Callithrix jacchus: one gene and its partners. The protein of the gene in region 4 interacts with the protein of the main gene of each other region in a pairwise test. Links are inferred from orthologs where the notes say so. Each region holds a gene or a part of one and is shown on either strand. Other genes may lie near its edges. The genes, in order: NIBAN1, NRF1, CSN2, FHL2, GNG12, RAI2 and ITGA7.

Region 1 (3,500 bases), on a different chromosome or scaffold from region 4:
GAAATCGGACTGTTAAGAAATTCTTACCTTTTGGCCAGCATGCCAGGCTTTTGGGTTTCCTTTCCCTGGTGGCCCTAGTGACCCAGCTTGCTGCACCATTGTGCTGGGGGCCAAGCTGCATTGTAAAGAAAAATTAATTTTTTCTTTCTGGCCAGAGCAAAATTCGTGTTATAAAACATAGACATTAGCCACTCTGCTTAGCACCCAATATCCAACTGGCAAGGCTTAAATTTGCCCTCAGATGGCTCCCCTCATCTTTAGTCAAACCTCTTACTAGGAGTTTCAATACATGGGCTCTGGGCAAGATGGTTGCCCTGAGTAACAGAAAAGATAGGAAAAGAAGAAAAAGGAAACTATTGTCTGTGGCAGAGTCGGACAGTGCATCCTGTATAATTCATATGCACCCTGCCTCATTCCCCAGTTCTCTCTCGAGCCTCCATGTTCAGAACCTTTCTCTCTGCCTCCTTCCACCCCACCCACTCCACTGTTTATTTTAAACCTCTAATATTCCCTTTAAAAATGATTTTAAGGTAAGTTTGGAAAACAGAGTGCATTCTGTTGTGACGACATCTGTTGATAGCACTTTAGGGCTTTAGCAGATGAGGTCTGATCCTGGAAGCCCAATGACCTCATCAATTGAGTGCAAACTAGAGTAGGAGGGACCCCAGTTTTTCAAACTGGATACTTCTCCCAGGTCAGGCCTCTGCCTATCCACTTCCCATCCACTAGCACCTGAAGCAACCTGTAGCAGAGGGAAGCCCTGTGGGCCCTGGCAGAGCCTCACAGAACTGTGACGAACTCTGGCTTCCCTTCCAAAGTCCAGGAGTCCAGGGAGCATCCCGACCTCCCTGGGGTTTTTTAAGAGGAGCGTCACTCATTAAAGAAGGTTTTGGAAGCCTGAGAGCCCAGCAGCAACCATGTGTCAGAGTCTGCCTGCCTGGTTCTTAAGCTCTGGAAGTGGGAGCTTAGAGTCTATCAATAGCTTACAAAGACTGGAGTCCCCCTGGGTGCTCCCCTGGGTCTTCCTATCATCCAGTTGGTGTTTCTGCTGGTTTCTGTCCTAGCATTACAGCTGCCCTAGGAACCGGAGGAAAATAAGCCAATTGAAGGTGTCACAGATGTAGGGATCTGAGTAGTGATTCACTTTATCAACATGCATTTGATTGTTTAGAATGTATGTAACATGCAATATGCATGCAATACCACTTCTAAATCTGAGGGTGTTTAATGTTTCCTTTCACCAAACTGCAGCATCTAGACCAGCTTATGAATCTTCCGCTGCATTCCATGAAGATGGAACCTTGTTATACTAAAGTCAACCTGCTTCATGAGCACCTGCAGGATCTCAAGAGCCGCTTCAGATTCCCCCACGTTGATCTGGTGGTTCAGAGGACACAGAACTACATGCAGGAGGTGAGTGTGGCAGGGGCATCCGTGGTGATTAGGTGAGTGTGGCAGGGGCATCCGTGGTGATTAGGGTAGAGAGAGAGCAGAGAAATGGGTGCTGGCCTGTGAGACCAGCTGCTAGCATAGCTCAGGGAAATACATCGCATCTCTTTAGCCGTCATGTTGAGGGAGGACAGGTTCTGTCCTCCACTGGCTTCATCTTCCTTCCATGTGGATGAACATCATAGAGAAGACATAGCTCAGAAAAATAAAGTAGCATTAATTGATAACTACTTGATTTGTCACATTAGTGCTTTAACCTTGGCTCATATTGGAATCACCTGAGGGAAATACTGATGTCTAGGCTCCATCCCCAGTGATTCTGATTCTATACATACCATGTATGTGTGTGTGTGTGTGTGTGTGTGTGTGCATGTGTGTGTACTTTGTTATTGTTGAGATGGAGTCTCACTCTGTCACCCAGGCTGGAGTGCAGTGGTGTGATCTTGGCTCACTGCAACCTTTGCCTCCTAGGTTCAAGTGATTGTCCTACCTCAGCCTCCCGAGTAGCTGGAACTACAGGCATGTGCCACCACACCCGGCTAATTTTTGTATTTTTAGTAGAGATGAGGTTTCACTGTGTTACCAGGCTGGTCTCAAACTCCTGACCTCAAGCGATCTGCCTGCCTCAGCCTCCCAAAGTGCTGGGATTATAGGCGTGAGCCACCATGCCCAGCCTATATGGCTACTTTGTGATAGAACTTCCCTACCCTGATTCCTGCTGCTTCTAATATGCAGCCAGGAATGAGAACCACTGGCTTAAATTAATTCCCTGACGTAATTAACAGTAAACCAATCAATCAAACAATCAGTTACAGCTTCATATTTTAATTTCTTGTGTCTACTTGACAAGTTTCTTTTTATTTTTTTCATAAGGAAACTTTTCCCCAGGAACAGGAATGAATAGCACAAACTCCTTCCATATTATGGTGTTTCCTAAATGAACCAGGGTGTGTTCATGAAAGTGCTAAAGGCCATGCCATTTCACACAGATACTCTAACCAGAGCTTACTGTGGGCCGGACGTGTACCAGATCCCACTTCAGGGAGCTTGAGTGAGGCATATTCTTAGATAAATTCACTACAGTGTTGAAAGTGTGATAAAGGTATGTATTGTGGCCAGGCACAGTGGCTCACGCTTGTAATCCCAGCATTTTGGGAGACCGAGGAGGGTGGATCACTTGAAGTCAGGAGTTTAAGACCAGCCTGGACAGGGTGGCGAAATCCCATGTCTACGAAAAATACAAAAAAATTAGCCAGGTATGGTGGTGTGTGCCTGTAGTCCCAGCTACTCGGAGGCTGAGGCTAAAGATTTGCTTGAACCCTGGAGGCAGAGGTTACAGTGAACCAAAATTGTGCCACTGCACTCCAGCCTGGGCGACAAAGCGAGACTATGTCTCAAAAAAAAAAAAAAAGTATATATTGGATGCTTTGAGATCTCAGGGGAAGAAAGGAACATTTTTTTTTCATAAAAATTACGGGCAGGATAAATGATACATTTTATCTAACCCTTGAGTTGTAAGGAATTAAAGAGGAACAAGGAACAAAATTGGGCAACAGTTTAGCAGAAATCTCTTTCGAAATACTGGACTCTGGTGACGGGAACACAGGCAAAGGTGCCGAGAATAAGATACCTGAACTAATTCTGCTTTCTGACCCATGAGCGTGTCAGCCACTGTCCCCAGCCATCCCTGACCTGCCCCTCTTCCCAGCACTGCAGAGAGAGGAAGGGATGTGCTGCAGAGTGGTTACATCCACTTAAAAGTGGAGGCGCAGCCAAAAACGAGTTGAAGAAGGCTCCCGCCTCATCCCTTAATCAGTGGCTGCAGGTATCAAAGAACAGAAGTGCCCACGGAGGTGACAGAATGCTTGTTCAGTCCCGTGGTTTGGGGTTTTCCAACTTCTTCCTGCTCCCACTGTGGCCATGTAACTTTTTGTTTCACAGCCCTGGTGGTGGGGTGATGTTGCCCTGGATCACCCCTGGAGGAGCCGCCGAGAGGACTCCTCTGTGATGGCCGCTGCTCTCCAGGTCCACGTAGCCAGGCCTGCGGGCGG
Region 2 (3,500 bases), on a different chromosome or scaffold from region 4:
GAGGCTGTTCTTTATCAGGTCGAGAAAGGTCCCCTCTTTCTAATTAGCATTTTCTTCTTTAAGACTGAATAATAGGCAGTATGTGTATACCACATTTTTTTACCCATGTATTCATCGATGGTTACTTGGGTTGCTTCCACATTTTGGCTTTTGTGAATAAAGCTGCTATGAACATGGGCGTACAGATGTCTATTCAAGACCCACCCTGCTTTCAGTTTCTTGGTGTATATATCCAGCAGTGAAATAGCTGGATCATGTGGTAGTTCTATTTTTTATTTTTTTTAGGAATTAATATGTAAAATTGTATATACAAGGACACATTTTTATACTGCATTGATGTTTGTTTTATAATAGCAAAAACTTGGAAACATTTGATCAGCAGGCAACTGGCATATAAATTACGACACATGCATATAATAAAGTATTATGCAGCTGTTTAAAAAGATATGGTAGATCTGTATGTTTTGACATGTAACAATGTCCAGATATATTGTAATATGAAAAGGACAAACAATATATATAGTATGAACTTGTTTTTATTTTAAATCTATGTATGTATGCTCGAAATTTATTTTTCAAAAATAATGAACTTCTGGGGTGAGGGGGAGTAGAGATTATAAGTGTGATAGAAGAGCGAACTTTTATTCTTACTGCTTTATAAATTATCATTTTGAGGTTTACAAGAAGCACAGTCTTGATGTTTTTTTTTTAGATAGAGTCTGGTTCTGTTGCCCAGGCTGAAGTGCAATGGCACAACCGTGGCTGACTGCAGCCTCCGACTCCTGGGTTCAAGCAATTCTCCTTCAGCCTCCCAAGTAGCTGGGATCACAGGTGCCCACCACCAGCCATGTTGGCCTGGCTGGTCTTGAACTTCTGACCTCAGGTGATCCACCCACCTGGACCTCCCAAAGTGCTGGGATTACAGGCGTGGGCCACCATACCTGCAAGAAGCACAGTTTTATAAGCAGAAAACCAATTTGAATTTTTGGGAAGAAAGTTGTTTGACCCTCACTTGTCTTTGACATATAAAGAAAATGTTAAGTATTTCAATTATTTACTAAGTGTTTTTATGCCCACAAGGTCAAATGCTAGTCACTGAGATATCTTAAATATCTTTTTATTATTATATTTGAATGTCTTTTTATTATTAAGGGTATCTGTTATTTTGTGATCTGAGGCATAAAATTAGTACAGCGATTTCCATCAAAATGGTTTCATATAAGGAACACCACTGGACCATTTTTATGTCACATTTGAATAGTGCTTCCCATTTCCTATGACTTGGTGTGGCACAATAAGTAGTAAAATGGAAAGTTTGTCAAGGTTCCTCTGCTCTTGAAGAAAATATCTTTAAGCATTGTGTTATATTACACACTGATTCCTGTTCTTTTCCTTTTTCATCTTATAGTAGAACTTCATGGAGGAACACGGAGTGACCCAAACTGAACATATGGCTACCATAGAAGCACACGCAGTGGCCCAGCAGGTGCAGCAGGTCCATGTGGCTACTTACACTGAGCACAGTATGCTGAGTGCTGATGAAGACTCGCCTTCTTCTCCCGAGGACACCTCTTACGATGACTCAGATATACTCAATTCCACAGCAGCTGATGAGGTAACAGCTCATCTGGCTGCTGCAGGTAATGTTGTTTGGATTAGAAGCTCTTCTTTAGTTTTAATTTTTTTGGTTTTGTTTTTTGAGACAGGGTCTCACTCTGTTGCCCAGGCTAGAGTGCAGTGGCACAATCGTGACTCACTGCAGCCTCGATTTTCTGGGCTCCAGTGATCCTCCCATCTCAGTCTCTGGAGTAGCTGGGACTGCTGACATGTACCACGACATCTGGCTAATTTTTGTATTTTTTATAGAGACAGAAATCTCACTGTTTTACCCAGACTGGCCTCAAACTCCTGGGCTCAAGTGATCCTTCTGTCTTGGCCTCCTAAAGTGCTAGGATTACAGGTGTGAGTTACCATGCCTGGCTTTTATCACAGTTTTTTTGAGCCTTGCAGTTATAACTTGAGCCTGTATTATACTGAGACTTGAGGTCTGGGATCACTTACTATTAGTGTTATGGCTTTGGTTTTATTTTTTCATCTGTTCTGCCCGTGTTTTGGCTTTAAACTAAAGCATTTATTCCATTTGCATTAAACAGGATGGCTGACACATATTTAGATTTAAATTTACCTTCTTTTCTATATACTTTCTATTTACCCTATCTGTTTTGTTTACTTTTTTCTTTCTTGGCATTTTCTTTTGTAGTAATTGAAAATTTTGTATTTTTTTTCTTTTTTGTTAGTTTGAAAGTTATAAGCTTTTACTATTAGTGATACCTGTAGAAATTATAGCATACATCCTTTACTTACCAATGTTTTATGTTGACTGGGCTCAGTGGCTCATGCCTGTAATCCCAGCGCTTTGGGAGGCCAAGGTGGGCGGATCACTTGAGCCCAGGAGTTTGAGACCAGCTTGGGCAATGTAGTGAAACCCCATCTCTACCAAAAAAAAAAAAAAATTAGCTGGGTGTGGTGATGTGCTCCTGAGTCCCAAGTACTTGAGAGGCTGTGGTGGGATGACTGATCACTTGAGCCCAGAGGTTCGAGGGTGCAGTGAGCTATGATTATACCACTGCACTACAGCCTGGGTGACGAGTGAGAGCCTGTGTCCAGTTAAAAAGGAAAAGCAAAAAGTTGTATATACTTGGTACTTTTAACCTCTACAGGGTAATACAAATTTCTTAGAACACTTGAATTTCATGCACCCACCATGTATGCTATTGTTGTCCTTTGTATTCATTTTTGGTGTACAGTTGGCCCTCTTTATCTGTGGGTTCCACATCTGCACATTCAACCAATTTTGAATAAAAAAAATTAGGGAAAAAATAAAAAATAACAATGTAACAATTAAAAATAATACCAGTAAAAGGCCAATACAATATAGCAACTATGTATATAGCATTTACATTGTATTTGGTATTGTACTTAACCTACAGGTGGTGTGGAAAGACATGCATAGGTTATGTGCAATACTACACCATTTTATTTCAGGGACTTGAGCATCTGTACAGTTTGGTACCCTTGCCCACGGGGTCTTGGGGGAAGGGAGGGGAAAGTCAAGATCCTGGAACCAATCTCATGAGGATTTGAAAAGACAACTGTATTTTACACACCACAAGACAATATTTTTATTTTATATGTAATGTTAATTTTTTTCCCCTGCATCTCCAGCTGGTCTCCTGAGATGGTTTTTCTTCTGCCTAAAAACACCTCTTAGTATTTGCTTTAGCATGGATCTGCTAGTAGGAAATTCTGTTTTTGCTTGTCTATGAATATTTTTATTTAAACTTCAACCTTGAAGTTTTCACTGAGTATGGAATTCTGGCTTGGTGGTTATTCTTTCCTCGTGTTGAAGGTACTGGTCCACTGTCTTCTGCATTCCACTGTTACTATTGAGAATTCAGCTATTTCATCTAACAGCTACTCTTTTGAAGATTCTCTCCCAT
Region 3 (2,641 bases), on a different chromosome or scaffold from region 4:
ATGACTCAAGATAATTTCTTAATCAAAATAAGTGAAAGATTTTCTTCCTCCCTTTTTACTCACTTATCACTGTCTAAAAGAGAGAAATCACTTCATTATGAATGGCAATTATAGCTGAATCAAGGACTTCAACGATTCTTTTTCCTTCTTTCCAGGAGGAACACCAGGATAAAATCCATTCGTCTTTGCAGCCACAGCCTCTAATCTATCCATACGTTGAGCCTATCCCCTACCCTTTCCTTCCACAAAACATTCTGCCTCTTGCTCAGCCTGCTGTGGTGCTGCCTGTCCCTCATCCTGAAATAATGCAAGTCTCTAAAGCTAAAGACACTGTCTATACTAAGGGCAGAATGATGCCCATCCTTAAATCTCCAACGATGCCCGTTTTTGACCCTCAACTCCTGAAACTCACTGCTCCTGAAAACCTGCATCTTCCTCTGCCTCTGTTCCAGCCCTTGATGCACCAGGTCCCTCAGCCTATTCCTCAAACTCTTGCGCTCCCTCCTCAGACTCTTGCGCTTCCTCCTCAGACTCTTGCGCTCCCTACTCAGCCCCTGTGGCCTGTTTCTCAGCCCAAAGTCCAGCCCATCCCTCAGCAAGTGGTGCCCTACCCTCAGAGAGATATGCCTGATGCAGCCTTTTTGGTCAATCAAGAACTTTTACTGGACCCCACCCGCCAGATCTACCCTGTGACTCAGCCAATTGTCCCAGTTCATAAGCCCATTAGTGTAAGTCCAAATTTACTGACTTTGCTGTTTCATTTAAGATGTGTATGTGATGGTAGAATGAAAGAATAAATGTACAGTAAATGAATTTTAAAAAAAGTTTAGTTAAGTGATCCTTAATGCTTACCTATGCAATAGAATCTCCTGGAGAAATATTCCCTTGCAAAACCCAATGCCAATGCCTACCCAGAGATTTTTTTTTTTTAATGAGGGATTGTGATTGACGTATATGCCATATTTCCATGTATATAATGTGTACCTAACTTAACAGTAATTTGAAAATTATATATACATTGACATATAAATATACATATATGTATGTAACTTTGCTAAATTGTGCTTTTTGTTTTGCTTATACTTTAATAAAGAAGTAGTGAAAGACAAATGGAAAACAAATTAAAATAGTGGTCTTTTAGGAGGAGGGAAAAAATAGAGATAGAAGAATGCTAGATTTCTCTGAATGTACCTAGTTTTGGAGTTTTGACTTTGAAACCATGTAAATGTGCCACATAATTAAAGAACACTTAAGTTACAAATCAATCCCAAAAAATAAAAGCAAACAAAAGAAAATAAACTTTAGTTATATTTCAAGTTAGCTTCATAACCACACAAAAATGAAGAATTTCAAGTTACTTCAAAACATAATATTTCACTCTAATCTTTAGAGGGATATCCTCTAAGACAAGAAGAGTATCAAAGTAATCTGAAACGACATTTAGTATTCTTATAATTTATGTGGGCATGTGTATACATGCCTTTGTATGTATACATAGATACATAGATACACACATTAGGATAAAGCGAATAAATAGTATAAGAAAACGAAAAGATATACATATAAAATCAGGCTAGGTGTCATGGCTCACACCTCTTTTTTTTTTTTGAAAGAAAAAAAGGAGAGAAGGAGAGGAAGAAAGCGGAAGAAAAAAGAGAGAGAGAACAGGAATATTGCTTTATTCTAAAAACAGTTATTAATAATGGCCGATCAATATTTTGTGTATTTAAAGTGGAGAGCTCTATAAATATTTATGATTCTTGATATGATTGTTCTGGTTTTCTGTGTAGAGGAAACTGAGTGTTGGGTGGGGGGGAGGGGAAACTATTGTATGAATTCTGATTTAATTAGTCTGTTGAGAATTCTCATTTAGATAAAGTAATTAAAGCTTACAAAAGCTGGAATTAAATTTAATAATATTATTGAATTTGGAACAAAAATGCTAAAAAATGTTCTATCATTTCCCATGTGCACATCTTTTTCACACATGCTTTACTTCACATTGTGTTTTTGCTATAAGTATATATAAAGTCAAAAGATTGAGATGCTTATTTCTCTACTTACAACATTCTTAAGCAAGTTTTCTTACCAGGAAGTTAATTATTGACTTATCTGTATTTGTTTATTTTTTTAAGGTCTAAGAGGATTTCAAAAATAATGTTCCCTCCTCATTTTTGGTAAGTTTTGGGAGTTTGGAGATTAAATTGATCATTTTTACACATGATGTCTTTTTACATTTAATTATCCTAAAGAAGTCCAAGACAGTAAAAATTCCATACATACAAGAAATTTTTCAAATTAATTATCAACTTATTTTCAATGGTTGACTATCACTTACTGAACTGAAATTATCTTTTGCATTTCAAATAACTTTAATTTTATTTATGTACAACTGACAGACTTGACTGGCTTGCTTTCAAGGGCCTGTATACTTACATTTGATTATCATTATTTTTAGGAAAAACAGAATATATGTCTTATTTTATTTTTATAGAAATACATTTGCATTTTGTCAAAAACCTACTTGCAATTTTATTTCTAACCTCGCTTTTATAAACTTTGTATTTACTTAAAATTGTCTTTTAATTCATGAGTCAAAATTACTCCAAGTGTACAGGTTAAAAAGAGGAGAGAATAGCAT
Region 4 (3,981 bases):
GTGGTGGTACATGCCTGTAGTTCCAGCTACTTGGGAGGCTGAGGCAGGAGAATCACTTAAACCCGGGAGGCAGAGGTTGCAGTGAGCTGAGATTGTGCCACTGCACTCCAGTCTGGGTGACAGAGCAAGACTCTGTCTCGGAAAAAAAAAAAAGTCATAAAATAATAATAAAAGAGCAGAATGAAATTCTTGCACTTTCCTCTTAATACCTAATTGTATGCTCCCCCTTAATAAAACACATCAAGTATGTTTTATGAATTGTTGGCTTCAGATGGTTTTAGTTCAGCTTAATTTTTCAGCATTGCTCTTTAACCGCAACAAAAGTCCTGTGTTAAAATGAATTTTTATTCCTCTTTTCCCTATCTAAAATGTATCCATTAAATTCAAATAAAATCCCAAATTGTAACACATTAAATTACTCAGCACTTATGTTGGTTCTTTTCTGTTTTTCATCCATATTTTAGTGTATTAGAGACTAAGTGAGGAGGTGCTGATAAATCAATGGAATAAAAAAAAATCAGTAAACCAGATTTGTAAGGCATGGGGGGGCATGTAGATCAAGGCACAAGATGGTTGAATTTTTCATGATTCGAAAGGGACCAGTACTAGTGTAGAAATCAATTACCAGATCATACTTTGAACTGATGTTATATCGCTATATTCTAACAAAATATCTTATCTAAATCTTTATGCCCTTTGACTCTTCATCCATCCAACTATTATGAATATTTTAATATATTGACTAACCAAAATGGGTCATAACGATATATAGAGATAACCAATTTTCAAGGAATTAGATTTTGAAACAGCTGTAAGAGGCATTGACCATAAATTGGACAGAAAGCAGATTACCAAGTAATTTGATTGATGTATATATGTTTCTGTTAATTATAATTTACAGTTTCCCAAATAACTTAATGTTTTTGGATTCACCTTAAAATATCTCATAGTGGGATTAAAAAAAAAATCTATGAAGTGAATGGTTTACGTCTTTCAGTCAAAGATACCTTAGAATCAATAAATAATTAAAATCAACAATAAATTGCAAGAATAGTTATCTTTTGAGTAATAAGAGTATATATAATTTTCCATTTTCTTCTTGTTGCTGGTCTGTATTTTTTATAGTAAACGTAGATTATTTGTAGAGTAAAAAAAGAAAATGTAAGCACTCAATATAATTTTAACTCATTCTTTGGTGGAGAGAGAATGAATTAAAATCAGTCTCTGGGCCATGTATTGTAAATATGAAATATTTTAGAGATCAGTGGAAAGTGTGTCCATCCCTGTGCTTCAGGTCATGGGAATGCAGTGAGAGGCATGGCTTGGCCTAGCCTCGGGGATCTGAAATCAATGGAGAACTCTGGAAGCTCTAAATAGAACAATGAGACTTAAAAGTAAGAAATGTTCTAAAAGACAGGTGATGGGTGAGCAGTCTGGGAACCCTGTGTTGGAAAATATGCAACTTTTCATGGAAGTTATATTTTAAAATATTTTTAATATAAGAAAAAGCCTCCAAAATGTAATCATTTGAGTCGATTAGTCAGCTACTCAATTAAATATAAAAACTTGGGTCAGAATGATCTCAACATATAATAAACCTTATTCCAGCCCATCCTGGATACCCCAAAACCCTGATTTGATCATTACACATTCTGTGTATGTACTGAACTACTCACATGTACCCCATACATATGTAAATTCTATTCATGTATCAATAAAATTGTAAAAGCCTAGCAATAAAATAAAATTCAAATAATATTCTTCAAGAAACAAATAAAACAATGAAAATAAACTTACATACAGCAAATATGAGCTACAACAGCGTTAACCTGTAATGCAGGTATTTATTAACACTCTTCGGACTTCAGAATAATTTAGAAACAAAAACTGGACTGACAACTTTTTCTTTTCTTTTTAGATTAGACTTGATAAAGTGTCTTGCATGGAGTCTGGCTAGAAGATATTTATATAGATGATGTCTATTATCATATATATGTCACCCTATCAGTATTGAGATTATTACACAATTGGCCAGGGCGTTACTCAGGACTGTACATCCTAGAGTTTGCCCTGCTCTGGAAATTGTAAAATATTCATGCATTTCCTTTTTAAAGCATGCAACAGCTCTCTGGACTTTCAAACCATCAGCCACTAAGAGTCATGTTGTATAAACACACTTTCCCAGAGTAATCAGACTCATCAGTAATTTGCCATTTCAGCCCAGGCTTTCCGGAAATTCTGTCAGGGAGAAAAAGTTCAAGTGCACTGTGGTTTTCCCCGTTTCCAATGTTTATAATATTTCTTCTTTTGCTTTCCCCTTAAAAAATGTTTTCTGGTGTTCAAAATGGATTCCCACTGAGTGGAGGCAGGGGCTCAATTTCATTTAAACCTCTCCTCATTCCCAATGAGCAGGGTTCTCTATCTTCAAGCCAAGGACCCTGTATCTTTGGGCAGGGTGGCTTCCGTTCCTGGGCTTTGCCATTGGTAGGAGCCAGCAGCCAGCACCACCTGCATTTCTGCTGGGGTCAGTGAGCTCCCAGTGCCTGAGAGCTTCCTCCCAGGCCTGGGACGCTCCCTGTGCATGGAGCAAGATGCCTACACAACTGCTGTCCAAGCCTGCTGCAGAGTTAGGCTGGGAAGGATGGCAAGGGTAAGAGAAGGGCATGGGGAACCAGTGGTCCTTACCTGCAGTGTCAGGGTTCTGTCTTCTGTCCTCCAGCCCGATGAGCAGGGACAGCAGCCGTGCAGGCAGATGGCCTGGTTAGATGGCCCCAACCTTCTCTGCAGCTGCCAGCCAGCTGTGCTGCCCTTGTCAGTGGTGCTATAAATAAGGTGCATCTGGACATTGGCCAGGCTCAGGAGATAAGAACCCAGTCCCTGATTCCTACATGCCTTTTAAGGCCTCCACATTAAAGGAGCCTCGGCTCCCAGAAGGGAAAGGGCTGCCATGTCCTCATTTGTCCTGCCTGCCTCAAGGTCACCTCAGACCTCACATTTTCCAGCAACCCAAAGGGTAGCTGAAGTGGAAAGGCCACCAGTGCCAGAAAGGGACCTTACTTTGGCAAACAAGAGGTAGAACCTCCAACAGGCTGCCCAGCTGCACTTCTGTCCACCCCTCAGATTAGGTGCCTGGCATGGAGGCCCAGGAGTGGAGGGACACTTCCCCCAGGCCCCACAGCCCCTCTGTGAGCTGGGAAATGTGGATTCCTAGTGCTGCCTTCCGGAAAGAGCTCACTGACCTTCTCTTTGGCTTATGAGTTCATTTGCTTGGGTGAGAGGATGTTAGGGAAGCCCGAACAATAGGCTCAATAAATGGCAGGCATTTGGGAAGCCATGGGTGAAATACATTTGCAGAAATTTCTCTCCCTCCCTTCCTCCCTGCTCATGCATGATTATAAGGGTTTCTCGAGCCACACATTGTTTTCTCTATGAAATTAAAACAGTGAAATTCCCAGAGCCTTTTAAAAGCCATATGCTGGGAGAGGAAAGAAAACTAATTTGGGATATCAACAGCTCCTGATTCTTTTGAAATTTCTTACTTACGAGTATGCTGAAAAGGCACTCGCCCATGGCGAGGGCCAACTTCTTCCGAGGATTATTTGGTGAGAGCTGTCTGCATTACCAAAACAATTCTAGGCCTGCAGATTTATCCTGAGGAAAGAATAGTGTATATGGGCAGAGGACATTTCTTGAAGCTCTTTTTTTTTTTTTTCTCAAAATTAGGAAAAGTTGGAAACAACGTAAATAGCTCAGAAGAGGGGACTGAATAAATGAGAAATAGTATATGGGCTGGGCGAGGTGGATCACACCTGTAATCCCAGCACTTTGGGAAGCCAAGGCCGATGTCAAGACATCGAGACCATCCTGGTCAACATGGTAAAACCCCGTCTCTATGGAAAATACAAAAATTAGCTGGGCATGGTGGCGCATGCCTGTAATCCCAGCTGTTCGGGAGGCTGAGGCAGGAGAATTGCTTGAACC
Region 5 (4,229 bases), on a different chromosome or scaffold from region 4:
TCCCAGCAAGGGAAATTAGTGGTATGGCTTAGAAGAGTCTATTCTGTAGTCTGCAGCCAAAACACAAACTCCAGTATGCCACCCTCTCAGTCCCTGTAGTATCAAGCTGTTCTGTTTCAGGTGTATCCTTTGAACTGTGAATATATGTGAATCAGTCAAGCATGTCCCAATGCTCAATAGAACAGGAAATAAAGACCCCTCTGGCAGGCTGTGGCTTGCACCCCAACAACCACTGCCATCAGCAGCTTGCTAAGACCACAATCCTGGGGCAAGGCATGCATTCATACACTTACTCAACCTGTGACACCTCTTCTACATGTGCAAATGATTTCACTAAACCTGATACTTGCCTAGGGGTCAGAAGGAAAGCAAGAGGGAATATCATGCCCTGACTGCAGTCCTTCGTTCTTAGATTCCCCAGGGCCCACTTGTCCTTAGTTGGTGAAACTCAATACACAGACATCCCTCACCAATGCTTTCAGACTCCATTTCAAATGTGGACTCTGCCCACACTGGTTCTAAGTGACCTACTTTGGCCTCACCTCTTTTCTTTCCACCCTGTCAAACAAGAAAGCAGTTACCTAGGGATACTCTAGAAGTCCGCTGAATGGTTTTCTGCACATCCAGCTTCTTTACTCTTTCTGGACTCCAAGAGGGCAAGCCCCCTGTCTGATTCATTTTTATACCTCTCCCATCACCTTTAGCACTGAGCTTGGTACACAGCAGATGCTCGGTAATGTTTGTCAAATGACCCTAGCACGAAATCTATGGAAGTAGAAATGGCTCCTCCATTTACCCAACTTTGAACCCTGCCGGAAAAGACCAACCAAGTCCAATTAATTCATTAGGTAGAACTCTGCCAGGTACTGGACATTCGGAAACAAATTGCACGGGGGTGGGGCAGATGGACGGGAAGCTCATGGTAGGTGGATGTACCACAAACTCAACAATCGGCAGTTACACCTCCACTTTCTGGGAAACATCTCTCCGTGGCCCCAGGGCCCTTAAATGTTACTGTGAGTGTTTTCCTCTGAAGTTTCTGGAGCAAAGCCTAACTTTTGTGTAGGGGTTTGGCAGCGCTCGTCCTCGCGGCCCTGGGGACCGCTGGCACAGGGGCTGGCGAGGCGTTCGCACGCGAAGGAAACTTGCGAGGAGTCGGGGTGGCCCCGCGGAGGGCGGCTCGTAAAGTGGGGGCCCTCCGAGTCCTCGAACTTCAGGTCCTCCATGAGAATTCGGGGAAGGAGGACGACCAAGGACGGCCAGACGTCCACCGAGCTTCCCCAGGCCGGGCCTCGCCCCTCCTCCAGCTGGGCCACCACGCGGGCTCCGCGGCCCGGGTAGGCACAGCCAGGGCGTCTGGGCGGGAGGCAGGGCCGGGCGCGGAGGAAGGAGCCCGGGGCCGCCGCCGCCCCGCCCACCCCAGCGAGGCGGAGCCGGCGCCCGGAGGAGCGAGAGGAGGAGGAGGAGGAGAGGTCGGAGCCGTCTCCTGAAGCCCTTAGTGACCGAGTCCCGGCGGCTACGGCGGGGCAGCGCACCGGCAGACGGGTGAGCACCCAGCGGCAGGCGCGGGTGGCGAGTCGGGTCCCCGCGGGGTCGGGGCGCGGCGCGGGGCGTCGGCCAGCGAGTTCGGGGGCCGCCTCCGAGTCCCGGGTGCTGGGAAGCGAGATGGAGGGAGGGAGCGGAGGAAGGAAGGAAGGAGGGAAGAGTGTCCTGGAGGGCGGGGACTGGTCGGGGCGCTGGGCGCCGGAGACCGGGGGGAGGGGGAAGAAGGGGGCCAGGGGCACCCTGACCAGAGGCAGAAACAGCGCGCGCGCCCTCGACGAGCGGCCGCCCGAGGTCGCGGGAAGCCGGCGCCCCCATGGTTGGGGCTGGGGCTGGGGCTGGGGCTGGGGCTCGGGCTGGGGCTGGGGGTGGGTGGAAAAGCCTCCCCGCCAGCGAGCTCGCCTCTTCGGCAGCCTGCGGCTGTGTGCCCCGCGCCCAGTTGGGAGGCCCGAGTGTTCCCAGCCCTGGCTCGTTGTGGTGCCAGGCGCTGGAGGGCTGACATTTGGGGGCGACAGGGACGCCACGCCCCTTTGCCTACTTTCTACCTCTCGGGACTAGCCGGCGGGAGCGCAGCCTTGGAACCCGCTGGGCGCTGGGGGTCTAGCCGGGAAATAGCGGGTCGCAGAGGGAGTAGCCCACAGGACGCACCCCGCGAGGGACCCCAGAGCAGGGACCCGAGGCTGCCCTTCTGCAGACTGTTTTTGCAGGTGGTAAGGGGGAGGCTGAGGCTCAGTCTTGAGTGATTTTTTTCTTAAAAAAAAAAAAAAAAAAAAAATTATTGCCCGACAATTATCCCGTGGATCAGGGTGACTTCTGTTTTTCATTTTAATTAGGGTATATCAGTTAAAGCTAACTTTAAAACGCTGTCACTTAGCGCCTCCCGTCACCCACTCGTCCCTCGCTTTGCGTGTCCTGTAAACTTGGCTTAAATCATTCATAACTCACGATAAGGAAGCCGTGATTCTGGTTCAAGTCGCCGCGGTGGAGTGAAACTTTGCCTAAGTGGGAGTGAGTGGAGGCACTGCCGCGGCCGGTCATCTGGTGGTCATCCTGCCGGGCGTGGTTGTATACAAACAAGTGGATCGAGAAGGAAATCGCTCCACACCAGAGGTACAAGGGAGGTTCCTGCGCCCACGTGTCAGGACACGTTTAATGGCTGCTCCCAGCGGAAACAAACGGGAATTTATTAGACCTTGTGGAGTTGGACAAACTTCACATGATTAGCTTCCTTCCCATCAGTTACTTCCTCTCCCCCCTGCTGTCTTGGCCGACACAGTTTATATTTCCTGGGGCGGTTGTAGACTCGCCTGAATAGGCCGTCTATAATGAATCTTTTGGCTGTCGTCAGAGGCAGGGTCTGCGTCTGTGCCTTCTCTATTTTAAAAACGGAGTTTGGCTTTGTTTTTAAAAGTGCTAGTCACCAGACTGCACCCTTGCCAGCGCTTCTCAGCTCTCGAAGTAAATTATCGCAGGATGGCGGCCCTCACCTAGGAGAACCAGGAAGGCAGGAAGCGCTAGAACGACGGGATTGAATTTTACTGTTGCCAAAACAATCACATTCAAGTAAGGAGCTGTTATGTTTTTCTTTTTTTTTTTTTTTTTTTTGACCAAATTGTATGTACTAGCAAGCCCCTTTTCTAGTAAACTAACATGTGATTCACACACCCACACGCACAATTTTTAAAGTAATCGAACATTTTACAGAGACTTAAGTGATAAAAGGACTTTCAGATAAAATATTCAGTCCCTTTGCCTTCTCTAATAGTTAATCAGCGCCGTAAAGCCGTGGTTTACGTCCAAAAAATGCTGAACAGTCTACTGCGTGGTTAGACCTTATAAGTAAGGCAGTACTATTTTTGCTATATTTAACCCGCGTAATTTACTAGATATTGAACCCCCAATAGGGCACACAACACTTAGAATTGTATAGAAATATATGAAAATGTGAATCTGTGTTTCCCAAGAGCCTGAAAAAATGGTATTATAAAAATTTCCTGTCCAGAAAGCTCCAATCTTACTTGAAAAACTAGCTCTCTAACAATTAGATTTGTGGATTTGTTTTGTCACTTGTTAGAGAATATCTGTGGTTTGTTAAAAGTGTGAGAGCAAAGGGCTTCCTGGTTAAAAACCTGGAGGAAGTGGTTAGCCAATATCAAATCAGTTTTATTTTTAAATTATTGTTGAAACTTCACTCTCACAGGAAAAAAAAATTCAAATTTAGAAATACGTGATTTATTGTGTTTTGCTTTGTTTTAGAGCTTTATGTCAGCTTAATCTTAACCTAGGAAGGAGAGCTGTGAAAGTCAAGTAAATTTTTCTGAGCCCTAACTTGGAAGAGAAACTTGTTTAACAGTGATTTGGGGTGTTGGCTTTGGAGTCAGACAGACTTAGATGAGAATATTAGCTATTTAACCTTTTTCAGTCTGATTTATAAGATGGGGATAAAAATGGTCTCTAACTGTAGGGCTTTAAAGAAAGTATATGAAACAATCTTTGGAAAACACACTGAACTTAACACAGTACATGGTCAAAATTATTAGATATTTGTCTAGCGTATTCACGCAGCAGGCTACTGGATGGATTGCAAGGGGGCAGCTTGAACCTTCTGGAATTGCTAGGTAGAGCAGTCTCAAATTCCTTGGAAAGTAACTGGTGTGTGTGTGTATGTGTGATGTTTCTACCACAGC
Region 6 (4,097 bases), on a different chromosome or scaffold from region 4:
ATCCAGACTATCTCCATTCTGGGTCAATGGATTTGGGAGGCCAGTCCTATCCTCAGCTTCTGGGTCATTACAGCTAGAGCACTCCCAGTAACAGCTCCTCATACACCTTCCAGTCTTTGATTTTTCTTTCTTGCAGTTCAGATGGTCCTGTCTCAGGGACTCTGTATTCTGGATACAAGATTTTGAAATGTATCTTACAGTCCTTGCCTAACTGCCTATCAAACCTAGTTTTCACCCCAGCAAGCAGCATCACTTGGAAAACTGTCTTTTCATTTGCTCAGATGTTCCTCAGATGAACTGGTTTTCCTGGGCAGAAGGTCACCACTGGAGGTCTTGGCTTTTTTTCATCATAAAGGAACCCCTTCGGGTGGCTGAATGGTCCCCTGGGCTGGTGCCAAAGTAGCCACTACTCCTAAGTTCCAGTCTGACTTGGTTCACAGTGTCTGGGCTGCCCTGGGGATGCCTCTAGTGGGCATCTGTCAGGACGAGAAGCGGGTGCCCATTTGAAGGAGACTGTGTATGTGAGGTGTGGGGGAGGTGGCTTCTCTGGGCTTGTAAGGGGCAGGGAAACTGGGATGCCACCAAGCTTATGATTCTCTGCCTTCCAGCCCACCCCTGGCTTCTCAAGTTCCCGTTTGAGAAGAAAACTAGCCTCCATACTGTCCCCTTCCACATTGTCCCCCTCCCACCTTGCCACCCCTCTACTGTAACAAAGGCATGTCCACACCACATTTTCAAAGTTATCACAAGTCTCTCGGTCCACCAACAACCAATTCTGAGGACTCCAAAGGAGCAAGAGAGACATCTAGAAAACGGTGGGAAAGATTTCCTGGGAAAAGCACAGAAAACCTTGCCTGACTCATGCAAGGCTAAGAATTGTTTTCTCCCTGCTGGCTGCTTTTCTCTTTATTCTAAAGAGAAGCTTCCAAGAATCAGCTAAATAAAGGGATCACACCAGAGGATGCGAGATAATGCTAAACCAACAAAAACAAAGACCCAAATGAAACAGAGAGAGCCATGAGAATACGCGGTTATCAAAACTTTGTTTGGCCATATCTATTTATCATCGCTGCACACCCGGGCTCTGCGGAATATCATTCTGTTGATGTCACTTATCCTCAGCAAAATATTTACACATCCTTAAAAACGCCAGATGAGGGGGGCCAGCCCGCGCACTGCCGCAAGCTGCCCCTCAAACCTCATCGCCAGGTTCTGGGCAGCCCAGGATGTAGGGGCACGACGGTGGGTGGCACCAGCGGACACAGGTGAGAGCTACCAACAATTCCTGGAACATGGTCACCCAGACGCTGCGCCGTGCCCTGCCCACCTCTCCCCTACCTGACTCTGCAAGCAGCAACCACATACTCGATATGGTATTGGCGCCTCCTTGTCCTCCTCTCCTGCCTTTTTCATTGATTAAGTTCTCAAACCATTGTTAGAGCTGGGTTGCTTTTTCTTGGAAAACTGGGCTAAATTCATTAAGCTTCCCTTTGCCACAAAAGGAATATTCATAAAAGTTTGGCAGGCAGAAAGGGAGGCTGAGTGAGTGTCATGGTGCCGCTGACAATCGGCTTCTCCAAAGCCACCCTCTTCTTCCGTGCCCCATCCCTCTCTCCATCCATCCGTCCTGCCCCAAACCTACTCCAGGGACTTCTGATAGGGAAACACAAAGCAGCAGCTGTTTGGCAACATTTCTACCCCTCGCCAGCAACTGTGGTGGGATGCCATTTCCCCACCCAGGCGGAGCTTATCCTGAACAATAGTCGGGCTTTAAATGGCAAACAAACAAACAAACACACAGAGCACAACCCCAACCCCGAAAAAGCTACCGCGGAGAGAAGCAGTAACTCCCTCCACAGCAAAAGGCGCCACTGAAAAGCACGCAAAAATGCAACGAGAACGTTGCTCTGTGCCTAACATGGCAGAAAGCCCGAGCTGGTGCGGCCACCCCGGGGCTGGGCATTGGGGGGCACCGGGGCTCCCGGGGCGTCGGTGCACACTCACCCGGCTCCGGGGGAATGCGGGGCTGGCCGCGCATCACAAAGAGGAGCCCGGCGCGATCTGGCAAAACCCAACTTTCCACCCGGCTCGCCAGGGCCGCCAGATACGTCAACAGAATCCATCTTTCGAAGGGCCTGGAAGGCGCCGGGTTTTCCCGGCCGGGACAGAACGGCAGATCCGGAGACTGCCCGGTGCGGTGCCGGGGCTCGGAGTCCGCCGTGAACCGCCCTCTGCGCCCGGTGCCAGTGCGGGCGGCGGCCCGAAACCCACTTCTGGGCCCCCGCCCCGCCGGCCGGCGCCGCCTCCCCGGCAGTCCCTGGCCCCGCCGGGCAGTGCGCGGCGCCGGGAACGGGAGCGGAGCCCCGGCGCGCCACACGGGCGGCGGCCTCGGCCAGCGTCCCCGCCCCCGCCCGGCCCTCCCCGCCGGCCCCGGCCTCCGGGCGCCGTCCTGCCCCCGGGAGCAGGCCCCTCCCCGGGCGCCGGGCCCCGCCAGGCGCGCCCAGCCCGGCGCGCCCCCTACGTCCTGATGGCAGGTCTGCGCGAGGAGTGGGGGGGGGGGTGACCCCGGCCCGCACGGGGGCGCCGCGGCCGTTACCTTGGAATCGCGGCCGCCGCCTCCAGGAAGCCGCGGGGTGGTCGCGGGTGCGGGAACTCTCGGGTCTGGCCTCGCCGCCGGCCGCCTGAAGGGGGTGCGCCGCGGTGGGAGCCGCCGTCGCCGCTGTCACCGAGCCGCTGTCGCCGCCGCCGCTGCCGGTTGTGCGTGAGCGTGTGTGCGCCTGTGTCCGGGCGAGTGTGTGTCTGCGTGCGGCGCCCGGCCTTTACTATATACACCAAGGGGTGGGAGGAGGCGGGGAAGGGGAGGGCTTGGGGGAGGCGGCGGAGGAAGGGGAGCAGGAGGGGGGCGAAAGGGTACCCGAGGAGGCGGCGGCGGAGGAGGGACAGGTGATCTCGCCCACGGGGAGGGCGTGGCCCTGGGCGGCGCGGGGTGCCTGGAGGAAGGGGTGTCGGGGAGACCTTGTGGGGAGCGCCGGGGACGGCTGGAGGAACTGGGACCCTACTGCCTCCCGGCGGACTGGGGACCATTCCAGACCCCAGGATAGAGAAGAGCGAGGAACAGAGCCCAGGAGGGAGGAAGTGACTGGCTGATGGAGCCAGGGGAGGTGGGAAGAAGAGCCCAGAGATCACCCGAAAATTACAATTGTGATACCGGTGGAAGATGCTTCTTACAAGGTGGGAGATTAGAAAAGATCAAATTAGTCCACCTACATAAGGTAATTTCCATCCAAGAGGTGATTCATGTATCAATCTATTAAACCTTTATTAAGCGCCTAGTGTTTGCCAGACACTGGGCTAAGAACTGGAGTTACAGGGACGGTGACTGTATCATTGCTGACCAGCAAATAAGTGGTAGGTGTCAGTTGTACTATTGACCATTTTAAAATTGAAAACAATAAATCCTTAGAATTCTTGAGACAGCGAAGGAAGCAACCAAATTGGTTTAATGAATCTCCAAAGATGTAAAGATTTTTTCTATTAATCGAAACAGGATGAAGATATTTGAGAGAGAATAGCAGAGCAGAAATTATTTAATCAGAGCAGAGAACAGAATGAATCTGTCTGTTCTTGGTAGTCTCCAGCCCCCTGAAGTTCTAATACTGTGTGTATTAACCACGACTTTCCTCTTATCAAATCTGAGTTTTATAACACAGTTTATAATTGGTATGGGAACCTGAATTTGCGTTCAAAAGGCTCTATTCTAACCCTGTTGTGTTGCAGGCATAAAGTGGTAGTCAATGAGGCTGAATGATGAGTGTCTTGAGCACTTGTGCCTTTGTGGACTCCTTCCTCTGTAGAAAGATATTACAAATTACATGTTACAATTGCATTAGTGTAAAGATGAATATAATAGTATTTATATTAAAACAGTTTCTTCAACCTAAAAAATCATTTTTCTTATTATTTTAAAAGAAATTAAAAGATTTCTGTGGGTCCTTAAAAGTCCAGTGAGCCCCAGGCACTGTGTCTACTAGGCCTAAAGGAGAAATCAGCCCTGGTAAGTAGTACCATTCCTTGACACTGAATCTCCTCTTTTGAAA
Region 7 (3,500 bases), on a different chromosome or scaffold from region 4:
GCGAGTGGACCAGATCCTGGAGACACGGGATATGATTGGTCGCTGCTTTGTGCTAAGCCAGGATCTGGCCATCCGGGATGAGTTGGATGGTGGGGAATGGAAGTTCTGTGAGGGGCGACCCCAAGGCCATGAACAATTTGGGTTCTGCCAGCAGGGCACAGCTGCCGCCTTCTCCCCTGATAGCCACTACCTCCTCTTTGGGGCCCCTGGAACCTATAATTGGAAGGGTGAGTCACTCCTCGGGGAGGGGAGAAGGGACCAAAACCTCCTCTCACCTCAGAGACAGGGCTGAGGACAGCACATGGCCAAGCATGACCACGTGTGCACTGCTGTATGGCCCCAGGGCACTGCCATGCCTTCCACCCCATTGAGCTAGTGCACACGCGAATGTGGGGGGTACCACCTTTCCCTTGCATGGCCAAGTGTTCCTCAACATGCTGGCATGAGCCCCAAGTGCACACTGGGCCCGCATGCTCCAACACACTAGCCCACACCTCATCACTGCCATTCCCGTCTCCGCACGCTGCTGCTGGCTGAGCTGACACTCGGTGAGTGTGATGCCACGACTGGGGACCCCAGGAAGCCTGGGTAGGGGAGGGGGTGGAGAGAGGGCTGGAAAGAAGAGGAGGGGCTTCCCCGTGTGCCTGTCTAACTCAGCGTCCAGCCTGAGGGGTGCTCCCTGTGCCCTGCCTCTGGCACTAACAGGACTGTCCTTGCAGGCACAGCCAGGGTGGAGCTCTGTGCACAGGGCTCAGCGGACCTGGCACACCTGGACGACGGGCCCTACGAGGCGGGGGGTGAGAAGCAGCAGGACCCCCGCCTCATCCCGGTCCCTGCCAACAGCTACTTTGGTAGGGACCCCTCCCGGCCCAAAGCCACTCTAATCCTCTGCTCCTCTCTCTTGTCCTCCCTCTCCATGCTCCCATCCTTCTGTCTCCGTTTCTGTCTCTCACCCTGTCTGTCTTTCTGTCTGGCTGTGATCTCTCTGGTTTCTTTTCTCTCTCTACTTCTTCTTCTTTCACCTTTTTCTGGCCTTTCTGTGGCTCTGTCTCCCTACTCTGTGGCCCCCTCTCTGGATGTTCCCTCCCTGGTGTCTCCCCCCACCCCCCACAGGGTTGCTTTTTGTGACCAACATTGATAGCTCAGACCCTGACCAGCTGGTGTATAAAACTTTGGACCCTGCTGACCGGCTCCCAGGACCAGCCGGAGACTTGGCCCTGAATAGCTACTTAGGTTTGTAAGCTCCCACCTCCTGGACTCTAGGGTCGTGGCCCAGCCTCCCCTCCTTCCCCAGGGAACTCGACCTCTGCTGCCTTAAAATCTCCTCTTCCCCAACACACACGCAGGGAGACACACATTGGGCCCAAATTGCAGAAAAGAGCTGGGTCCAGTGACCAGGCCTAAGAAGAGGAGGCCCCAAGGGTGATGGCCTCTGGGGCTGTGAGCCAGGGGTCTCCATAGAAGATCCAGGTGGAGTGAGAGGGCCAGGGCTGAGGATATCCTGGGAAGGACAGTCCTGCCTTCTAGGGAACTTTCCCTGAGGGATGGGTGGTGGGCACATACTGAAGAAAGGGCCAGTGTTGTTGGTAACTTACCATTGTCTCATCTGCGTCCCTCTGCAGAGGAGGAGGAAACCAGGCCTGGGAGATGTTTGGGTGAAGCAGGCTCTCTCTCACTCCCCTTTGCCTCCCCCTCATCCATGCAAAGACTTCCCCTCCCTGCCAGGATGAGGCAGTGGGGGGAAAGAGGTGCACTGGGTGGGACTGGGGCTGGAGAGAGACTGGCCCTCTCCTCTAGCTCCCTGGGTGTGGGTAGGGTGGGGCCGCTGTGCTCAGCCTCCTGCCTGGGCTCCTGGCTTTCTCAGCCATCACCTTTCTCTCTCCTGCGCGGTCCCTGAGGCTGACCTCACTGCACTTTTTGTGCCAAGCTTGTCTCTGGGCCTGGTGGGTATGAGGAGCTGCCAGGCCCTGTGGGGAGGAAGAGCTATCCAGCTGTGGTGCTGATGACTTGGGGGGAAACTATCTTTCTGCTCTTAACTTGGGGGAGGGGCCAGGGGCTAGGGGAACTGTGACTTGGCTCTTAGCCTGTGGGGAGGGAGCAGGGGCCAGGGAAGCTGTGACACACCCCAGCTTCTGAGGCTTGGGGTGAAGACTCAGGGGTAAGTCACCCTTCCCCCAGGTTTCTCTATCGACTCGGGGAAAGGTCTGGTGCGTGCAGAAGAGCTGAGCTTTGTGGCTGGGGCTCCCCGTGCCAACCACAGGGGTGCCGTGGTCATCCTGCGCAAGGACAGCGCCAGTCGCCTGGTGCCCGAGGCTGTGCTGTCTGGGGAGCGCCTGACCTCTGGCTTCGGCTACTCGCTGGCTGTGGCTGACCTCAACAGTGATGGGTGAGTGGGTGCAGGGCTGTGCCACCTCAGGGAGGCTGGGTCCAGGAGGTTTGAGTGGCCTTTGGCACCTCCTGCCGGCTCCTCTGGCCAGGGAGGACCCACACTGAATGTTTCCCTCTCTCCATAGCTGGCCAGACCTGATAGTGGGTGCCCCCTACTTCTTTGAGCGCCAAGAAGAGCTGGGGGGTGCCGTGTATGTGTACTTGAACCAGGGGGGCCATTGGACCGGAATCTCCCCGCTCCGGCTCTGTGGCTCCCCTGACTCCATGTTCGGGATCAGCGTGGCTGTCCTGGGGGACCTCAACCAAGATGGCTTTCCAGGTGTGACTGGGAACTGGAAAGGCTCAGGGGAGGGAGGGGCCCGAGGAGGGATGGGGGAGCCCCTCGGAGGTCAGGGTGTGGTCTTCTGAGGACCCAGGGAGAGAGGGTCCCTGGGCTTCGGTCTGAGCTTTACCATTTCCCAGCTTTCTGACCTTGGCAAGTTACCTAACCTTTTTGCGATAGTAATATCTGCGGGGAGTGGCCAAGAGGATTGAAGATGATGTTTATAGAGTGCCTGGGATTTTGTAGCCTCCCAATAAAATAGAAAACAGACCTGAGTGACTGGGGGAGAGTTGAGGCCTGGACCTTGTCTGTACTCCCAGCCAGCGTGACTGCCTTTTCTTTGTGCCCTGCAGATATTGCAGTGGGTGCCCCCTTTGATGGGGATGGGAAAGTCTTCATCTACCATGGGAGCAGCCTGGGCATTGTCGCCAAACCTTCACAGGTGAAGGGAGTCTGGGATGAGGGAGTGGGTGTGTGGGTGGAATCAGGGCAGCAGAGGCACCAGGGGAGGCAGAGGCCTGTGGGAGGTGGGATTGGGGGAGGCTGACAGCCGGTTCTCTAGGTGCTGGAGGGTGAGGCTGTGGGCATCAAGAGCTTCGGCTACTCCCTGTCAGGCAACTTGGATATGGATGGGAACCAATACCCTGACCTGCTGGTGGGCTCCCTGGCTGACTCTGCCGTGCTCTTCAGGTGAACCCCTCAGCACCTTCTCCCTCCCTGAGGCCGTGAGCCCCTCCCTGTGACTCTGACCCCCACCCCAGGGCCAAATCTGATGCTTAAGAGTGTTTCC

Evidence for each region.
Region 1: the proteins of FHL2 (region 4) and NIBAN1 interact in binary tests that used the Homo sapiens proteins (3 or more experiments, as listed by UniProt). The two-hybrid records come from large-scale screens. The link is inferred for Callithrix jacchus from reciprocal best matches to the Homo sapiens genes FHL2 and NIBAN1.
Region 2: the proteins of FHL2 (region 4) and NRF1 interact in binary tests that used the Homo sapiens proteins (3 or more experiments, as listed by UniProt). The two-hybrid records come from large-scale screens. The link is inferred for Callithrix jacchus from reciprocal best matches to the Homo sapiens genes FHL2 and NRF1.
Region 3: the proteins of FHL2 (region 4) and CSN2 interact in binary tests that used the Homo sapiens proteins (3 or more experiments, as listed by UniProt). The two-hybrid records come from large-scale screens. The link is inferred for Callithrix jacchus from reciprocal best matches to the Homo sapiens genes FHL2 and CSN2.
Region 5: the proteins of FHL2 (region 4) and GNG12 interact in binary tests that used the Homo sapiens proteins (3 or more experiments, as listed by UniProt). The link is inferred for Callithrix jacchus from reciprocal best matches to the Homo sapiens genes FHL2 and GNG12.
Region 6: the proteins of FHL2 (region 4) and RAI2 interact in binary tests that used the Homo sapiens proteins (3 or more experiments, as listed by UniProt). The two-hybrid records come from large-scale screens. The link is inferred for Callithrix jacchus from reciprocal best matches to the Homo sapiens genes FHL2 and RAI2.
Region 7: the proteins of FHL2 (region 4) and ITGA7 interact in a two-hybrid assay, tested with the Homo sapiens proteins (2 studies listed by BioGRID and IntAct). The link is inferred for Callithrix jacchus from reciprocal best matches to the Homo sapiens genes FHL2 and ITGA7.

What each region holds. Positions count from the first base shown.
Region 1 is NC_133519.1:42,960,976-42,964,475, reverse strand, and holds part of NIBAN1 (protein Niban 1), read left to right. Parts: intron 1-1,251; coding exon 1,252-1,413; intron 1,414-3,500. UniProt on the Homo sapiens protein: Regulates phosphorylation of a number of proteins involved in translation regulation including EIF2A, EIF4EBP1 and RPS6KB1. May be involved in the endoplasmic reticulum stress response.
Region 2 is NC_133512.1:117,548,523-117,552,022, reverse strand, and holds part of NRF1 (nuclear respiratory factor 1), read left to right. Parts: intron 1-1,408; exon of another isoform or gene 1,409-1,411; coding exon 1,412-1,640; intron 1,641-3,500. UniProt on the Homo sapiens protein: Transcription factor that activates the expression of the EIF2S1 (EIF2-alpha) gene. Links the transcriptional modulation of key metabolic genes to cellular growth and development.
Region 3 is NC_133504.1:128,109,302-128,111,942, forward strand, and holds the end of CSN2 (beta-casein), read left to right. Parts: intron 1-155; coding exon 156-728; intron 729-2,135; coding exon 2,136-2,141; downstream 2,142-2,641. UniProt on the Homo sapiens protein: Important role in determination of the surface properties of the casein micelles.
Region 4 is NC_133515.1:15,512,195-15,516,175, forward strand, and holds the start of FHL2 (four and a half LIM domains protein 2), read right to left. Parts: upstream 2,801-3,981; 5' UTR 2,686-2,800; intron 1-2,685. UniProt on the Homo sapiens protein: May function as a molecular transmitter linking various signaling pathways to transcriptional regulation. Negatively regulates the transcriptional repressor E4F1 and may function in cell growth.
Region 5 is NC_133508.1:105,060,266-105,064,494, reverse strand, and holds the start of GNG12 (guanine nucleotide-binding protein G(I)/G(S)/G(O) subunit gamma-12), read left to right. Parts: upstream 1-1,429; 5' UTR 1,430-1,545; intron 1,546-1,762; exon of another isoform or gene 1,763-3,105; intron 3,106-4,229. UniProt on the Homo sapiens protein: Guanine nucleotide-binding proteins (G proteins) are involved as a modulator or transducer in various transmembrane signaling systems.
Region 6 is NC_133524.1:18,515,301-18,519,397, reverse strand, and holds the start of RAI2 (retinoic acid-induced protein 2), read right to left. Parts: upstream 2,801-4,097; 5' UTR 2,597-2,800; intron 2,402-2,596; exon of another isoform or gene 2,005-2,401; intron 1-2,004.
Region 7 is NC_133510.1:63,955,956-63,959,455, forward strand, and holds part of ITGA7 (integrin alpha-7), read left to right. Parts: coding exon 1-227; exon of another isoform or gene 228-548; intron 549-719; coding exon 720-851; intron 852-1,113; coding exon 1,114-1,233; intron 1,234-2,178; coding exon 2,179-2,386; intron 2,387-2,513; coding exon 2,514-2,707; intron 2,708-3,063; coding exon 3,064-3,152; intron 3,153-3,272; coding exon 3,273-3,400; intron 3,401-3,500. UniProt on the Homo sapiens protein: Integrin alpha-7/beta-1 is the primary laminin receptor on skeletal myoblasts and adult myofibers.